Schizosaccharomyces pombe: one gene and its partner. Changing the gene in region 2 together with the main gene of any one other region gives a genetic interaction. Each region holds a gene or a part of one and is shown on either strand. Other genes may lie near its edges.

Region 1 (3,757 bases), on a different chromosome or scaffold from region 2:
CATAATACGAGCTTAAAGAAACCAATTATTATATTTATTGTTGCTTATTGAAACGAAATAAATTTTATTCGATGTGTGATCTCCCAGTGCGAGAATACTGGATCAATTAATAGATTGACATAACTCTACGACCATAAGCAATTCTTCGATACCTAAAAAAAAATAACAACCACCAATATGAAGTGTCAATTTAGTAGTTAAAAACAACTAAAATAAATTGCATAAGTTTATGGGCTTATCTCGTTTTTACTCAACTTCAAAGCAGTAAGGAGCATCATTGCAATCTATACAATTGGCAATCGGATGCCTTAATCTTTTTTTTTAGTAGTTAAATCTTATCTAATATTCCAATTTCAGTATGAAGAGCAGCTAGATTTTACGACATGATCAGAAAAGACATAGTTTTATCCTCATGACTTCCAACTATAATAATCGAAGTACGATGCTTAGGCCAGTAAGCGATGCAAAGCATTTCAAGTTTGAACTTCAGGAAATTAAGAGTAACTTATTATCATGCTTAGTTATATTTCTTTACCCTAGATTGTATAAGCAGCTGATGAATTGGTGCTGACCATTAATTAAATTTGATGCAATGATGCTACTGATCAATTCAAAAGTAAAAAAGAAAGCTTTATACATGTAAATCTATTTCATCATCAGATTAACCGCTTATATACCCATGTGTACTTATTGATCTGTTTCCGTAAACATATTCTTAAATTAATAGAGGATTGTAATATTGCATATAGAACAATGAACTTAGTTTTAGGCAATTAAATCTCCGCGTCAATGTGATATTAAAGGAAACTGGAAATTCATTTTATACAAACTGATTATCTCGCACCCAGGTATATTTCTTTGCTTGCCTCCATTTCCCTTTTGTACGAAGCAAAAATTGACAAATGTGTTTAGCAATCGCAGAAAGAGGGAGTGTGATAAACATTGGGTTGGAATCTCTCACTATGCTTTGAACCTTGTGGGCTTCGAGAAGACCACTTGCCATCAGAGGAATCACAAAGCGTATTATGTCTTTTGAAGTGACAAGCATATAAACTGAATTTGACTTTCTCACAATCCGCCCATGTTGTAGTAATGTTTGCAAAGAGAAATTAAGCGCCAGTATGTGATTTCCATCACAGTTCTCTACTATTTCATTTTCGACGTTGAATATATGAACAAGTGGGAGGTGCAACTCTTTTGCTTTTAAATAAATAATGAGTTCTTCAATTGTAAATCCAGCTTGCACATTTAATTTACACATCTGCCTTATGCACTTAAGTAACTCCTTCGCATGATCTTTAGGAAAATAGGATTTCTTGGGTGTGCGAATGATTGAATGGTGATTTTTAGAGATTTTGGTTAAATTTTTTTTGTATCTCATCCTTTTCTGCCATGCCTTCCATTCATCATTTGGATCACGAAGTTCTTCAAACGACTGAGCAATTAATTCAACCTCAGATCGGAAAGAATTTATCTTTCCAAAGACACAGACAACATTTCCAGGAGACATAGATATTGCTCTTTTTGACATTGAAAAATCATCTTGAATAATAAACACGACACGCAATACCATCCCGCTACAATCATCCACTAAATTCAGTTAGGAAATAGAAAAAAGGGAGCTATAGAGGCAGATGCTTCTCAAAAGTTGATTTTATAAAAAACCTTAACTAGATTCAACAACTAAATGAGTCGTGTATGCAGTAGTGGAACTGCTTATTGCCTCAATGCTGATATTCGTTACCTGTTAAAACATGCTTTCCTTCATAAATATCAATTGCCGCAATATAGCCAACAATTTGAATCCATCTTATGGGAAATCCCATCCAGAAGCCAATGTATCCTAGATATTTGTAAGAATCACTTTGTGATATTTATTTTACAGAAAGAGCACTTACGCTGTAAATGTGGATGAAATGAAATTTTATGAACATCGCTAATAAACATGGGGTTCCATCTTGATAATGTAGGAAATTGATGCGTTAGTTGATTTTCATTTTCTAGCATTTATTAGGTCATTCCCTTAAAGACTTTCAACCATATGATTTGCAATTTTTCAAGTATATAAGTAAATAAAAATTAGTATGCTTCTGGTCAACTATCAACAACAATCGCAGCGTTTTCGAAAATTAAGCAATGATTTGGTGTTTGTGAAGTCTTCATCTTCCTGAGTGCGCGTAATAAGGATAGAGCAATTCTACGAGGATAATAACTATTTAAGTTTCTACAGTAAGATTAAAAGGAAAAAAAATATCTTAACTCTTTATTAGGACATGCATTGATGCTGTTATAAAAAATGCTAATTGACTAAACAACTTTATCAATTGAATTTAGTCTGGTTTCACGCAACTTAGTTATAATTGAATTTGAGAGAAGATCCTAAAAAAGACGTCTACTGACAAAAAGTGAGAGTACAGAATTCGTCAACCAATTTTGTAAATGTCACACCAATGTGCATTGTTTATATCTTGCTAAATTCTAGCACACAAATTCCTATCTTCATATACCGGATAATTCTAAATTATATGATTTATTTATGAATAGGGAATACGCAAGGAGGTATGAAAACCAAACTTCTTCAGTTATTGATGTTTCACATTCAACTGTTTTGAAGATAAATTATATTGCTCCTACTGTGTTCGATCAAGAAACCTCGTGGAAAAATGCATTCTTTAAAAGAGTAACTAAAAAAAACCAAAACTCCCAACTTTTTTTTGTTTTATGTTTATAACGGTCTATCAATTCTTCAATAAAGTGTTACCAAACAAAGCACTTAGAGGTAAGGATGGCAAAAATAAAGGCTTTTCTTAGGTCGAAATATTTGTTGTGAAACAAAGGGTATCCGCGAATAGCATGACAGCGGCTGTTCTGCTCAGCTTTCATCTGAAATTGAATAAACTAGCAATACCAAGAATACAAACAATGTACCCAAACTCATAGGTAAAGCATATAGAAACAAATAACCTCTTATCATCAGTGAATATGAATTATTTTTGCTGAATATACTCCCTGTTTTCAAAATTTAGTCTCACATGATCAATGTTGTTTCGACAAATGTCCTATGTATAAATGTAACAGCCACTATGTGACCTTCACCAGAGCCATACTTGGTAATAATACACTTTTAAGCATACGTTAAAGGGGTTTCGATTGCTGACAATAGAAAAATTTTTTAATTAAATTCTAAATACAACGTTGCTAGTTCAATCGAACTATTCTAAAGTCAGTTTAGTGAAAACAACATGGCCGAAGTTTTAGATCTTGAAATTGACCCAATTTCAGATGGAGAAGATGATACCTATTCTAGTGAATTGGATGATGATTTAAAGGATTCCATTGAACAATTGGAACGAGTTTTATGTTTGGTGGTGTTCCCGTTGTTAGGAAAGTTTCTTGGTCGTAAATTCGCATTTCATGGTAAGTTAGTATAAATTAAAGGAATAGGAATAGATGGTGGATTTTTTTTATTTGCTTTTAGTTTCTCAAAGAGGAAATAAGTTTTGCAAATAATTGAATAATAGAGCAAAAAAATCCGTTTTTGGAGAAAGATTGAGCACAACTGATTTTCTTATTCCATCAGCTTGAATTATAGCTTTTTCTTCCTATAAACTGTTTTTAAATGGTCTGCTTGTTGGTCTACATTTACATCTTTCGTTATTTTTTAAACATTTTTGTTTCCATTACTGTTCTATTAGTCTTTCATTCTTAACCTTTTCTACATCCTTAAACTTCTGTACATTTATTGTATACTAACCCT
Region 2 (3,757 bases):
ATCATAGGAATAAGAATTAACAGGCATCGATTGTGATGATTGCATATAGGATATGTTGGCATGAGTATTGTCCATTGGAAGGGCATTATTACCGTCAGGATGAGCAGCAGATTGGTTTGAAGAAGCAAACATGGTGGAGCCCATTGGGACATTTCTAGATTGGTAGATGAAAGGATACAAAGCTTGTGGCTGACCGTTAACGGCATGTTGAGCAGCAGGGAATGGATGAGATTGTTGCTGTCGAGAGAAACGTTGAGAGGGTATTTGGAAAGGCTGCTGCAAATAAGGAAGAGATGGCATGCTAGAATAGCCAGACTGTGGAGGAGTCAAAGAAGAGTGCGCATTGTGTGCATCAGCCATAGTTGAAGGATCCACACCCATGTGAGGGGGAAGCGAGCTATGGTGAGGAGGATGGATGGCACCCATATCTAAATGGCTCGAAGAAGAAGATGATATAGTAGCGACGGGATCAGGAAGAGTGCTAATGGGAGGAGCAACGTTAGGATTGGAAGTTGTAGACGACGAAGAGTTATCAGCAGACAAAAGACAAGAGTTGGCCATCAAAGGGATAGAGTTATTGGGAGAATCGTGGGAGTCAGGAGGAGGACGCTTTAAGGCTAATCTCTTACGACGATAATGCAAAGCACGTTTCGAAAGTTTTAAACCAAAGTTCGCCTCTATCTGGGCCAAAGAATCTTTATCACTTTGTCGCGCATGAAATAATTGGGTAACGAGTTCATCGAGAGCCTTTGAAACGTCGCCCGAAGCGGTTCGCGCGGCGGCCTCTTCGGTTCGGGGCGAGACAAAACGTTGACGATGTACTCGAATTCCCCATCGAGCCAACACGCGTTTGTATGAGCGAATACTAGAGAAAAGTTAGCAAGAGTAATGAAACAAAACAACAAAAAAAAAGAGCTAAAGAGACAAGTACGCGATACGTGAACATAAACGTGAGCGAAAACGAAGTAGCGAAAGACAACTTCAACGCAACGCCAAATGAAATAGAGGAAAGGAAAACAGGATGGATTCATATGGCATGGTCTTTTGCATGAGCATGCACATGATATACATGACGGGTTATTGTTTAGGACATTTGTATCCTGTATGTAAGTGGATTGGACAAAGTGGATGAAAAAAAAGATATTCCAAACAAAACAGCAAACCAAAAAGACAAAGAAACAAAGAAACAAAATTTCATTGTTGAATGAATGTCTCAGTTGAGGATGTTTTGGAAAACTGCCATCCTGTTTTATTGTCGCAACCCCACATACCCAACAATAGCCAATGTCCATGCAGGCACGACACACAACGACGACCTACACCCAAACATCCAAACACACAATTCCATTCACCTTCTCGTACCTCTAGCCCTGTACTTATTCGCTCCTCGTCGCATCGCAAGCATCTCGCACAAAATGGCGCAACTTGTAGTCCCTGCGGCGACACCAACAAACTACTTACCTAGCGTCAAATTTATACATCTTTGACATTCTCGCCTGCAGCTCGCGAATCGTCATTCCATTGATCTTGGAAAGCTCGATGATCTGCTCTCTTCGACATTCCCATTCCTTCGTCATTGAAATCGAACTTTCGGTTGTCTAATGTTGTTTCAAGTTGAGATTGGAAGTGGCCAGAGTTGGTGGTAGTGGTGGCTCGTAAAGTAGGGGTGAAAATAGTGTATCAATTTAGTGCACGAATGACAACAACGTTAAATGATAAAATAGAGCGATCCAAGGTACACCCCCGGAAACATGTAAGGAACATCGGGTCAAAGAGGATAGAAATATATAGCCAAAAAGGGCGCAACTTTTTTCTATCATCTCAGGCATTCGGAAAAATGACCTCGTATCGATGGTTGCCATCTTTCCAATCACATCGTGAGATATTCATTAAATATTGCTCATGGAGAATTTCGGTTTCACTGTTAAGCCGCTTCGTATGATGGCGCTTCCCTGCTCTTATCCATCCAACAAAACTCATTACTCCTTTCGCACTCAAAGTACTGAAACTCATTCTACTCAACACTACTCTTAGGTAGGTTAGGTTAGGTTAGGTTGGGTTGGGGGAGTTTGGGCCTTTGCTATCCCATATGTCTTTTGGCACGTTTGATCTATTGGTAGAGGGTGGACTCGCTAGCGGCAACTTTTTTCTTTTACCAACTCTTTTGTTCGCTTCTTCCACCTTTTGTCAACTCAACAATAACCTTTAACGTTAAATCCTCGACGAGAGCATTCTGTCCCATTTCCAGTAAGTGAAGGATGAACGTTAGAAAGCTGACATGTTCGCGATTTGGTCTGCTAGTAAATGTTGGGCAGAGATGCCTGCTTGCCTTGTCTTGCCAAGGTATTTTTTTCTTTTCGCAAACGAGTAACAGGTTGCTTTGGAGACGACATGGGTATCTGGAGACGAGTGTCTGAGAAAAAAAATTGAAAATCCGAAATCATGATCAACTCCGAACGTACCTAATTTGGATGGACGAAGAGGAGGAAGAAGCGAGCACCCATGAAAGAGAGCACACTGATGCACGCATCCATCAAGTGTTACAAGACAGAGGTAATAGTAGATGAAATAGAAGGGATGGCAAGGTAAGATATGAAAAGGTAGGGTAAGGCATGGGATAAGAAGAGAAATAGGATAAGAAAAGAAAGAAAGAAAGAAGAAAAATAAAAATAAAAATAATACTAAAAAATAATTGGGGTAATTTCTTTCTTTTTCCTTAATTTATTTTAAAGTTCTTTGATCGAGTATTTCCTTTTTATCGACTTCTTCCTCTTGACACTGCCGATGTCCTTTACCTTGCAAAACTTATGCTATCGCTCATCCCGAGGAAAGTTTATAAACTTGCTAGTAAGACTCGTTGTTTTCTTACTACATAATCCACCTTGTATTCTTTTAGTATACAATTTTAACATACTTTATAGCAGCTTCATTTATACAACATACGGAATAGCATAATTTATTTATTAGAAACTTTTCATAACATACTTTATTCGTATAACATACTCCACTCTATTATTTGTATTATCATCACACTGTCTTGTAAATATAACCCAATAAGTAAATGAATAACTAAATATTAAAAAAAAATATATATTTTGTAACACTGGGATGCCAGTTTTATGCCACTCGCATACCTTTCGCATCCATATCAGACACAACTCTATTTCCTTCAATTTGGCAAACTCTGCGTCCGCCAAAATAAAATCATCAAGTCATGTGAATAAACATAAAGTTGAATGTAACATGTGAACAAAAACATAAAGTTGTGTGAATTTTGCAGATCTTATTACATTTGTCTTTTTCTATTTTTATATCAACATAAACTAAGGAATCCCATCTCCAAAAAAGAAAAAAAAAAAAAGGAAATAAAATTATATGTATATATTTTTATCCATCAGTCTCTCTCACAACAATTCATTGAACCAATATAGTGATATGGATTACTTATTCCACCGTTACAATATATTCATTTAACGACTGGCATTACTCCACTACTTTATCAGCTTCGGTGTTTCCCACCCTATCTATTAGTCTTACTGCGTTTTAGTGTATGGGGTCGAATTTATGGGGGTCAAATTTCGTTACCCTCATAAAATTTTTTTTTCTTCTCCAACATGTCGTGCTAGAGTTAATCCATGCAACTCCACCTCCTCGGTGTTCCAACCGAACATTACTCCCAACCTTGTATACTTTTATGCTTTACTTTATCTAGTGATGATAACATATTCCTTATTTTACATAATTACATTAGGTCAAT

Evidence for each region. Genes that interact genetically often act in the same process or in processes that back each other up.
Region 1: mutations in clr5 (region 2) and stn1 together harm fitness more than expected from each alone (negative genetic interaction), as found in Schizosaccharomyces pombe (one large-scale study listed by BioGRID).

What each region holds. Positions count from the first base shown.
Region 1 is NC_003423.3:1,161,076-1,164,832, forward strand, and holds stn1 (telomere cap complex subunit Stn1), read right to left. Parts: upstream 2,008-3,757; coding exon 1,899-2,007; exon of another isoform or gene 1,844-1,898; coding exon 1,745-1,843; exon of another isoform or gene 1,615-1,744; intron 1,591-1,614; coding exon 821-1,590; 3' UTR 410-820; downstream 1-409. Other genes in the region: protein mim2, read left to right, coding at 3,243-3,417.
Region 2 is NC_003424.3:5,426,227-5,429,983, reverse strand, and holds the start of clr5 (silencing factor Clr5), read right to left. Parts: upstream 1,629-3,757; 5' UTR 1,578-1,628; coding exon 1,462-1,577; intron 866-1,461; coding exon 1-865.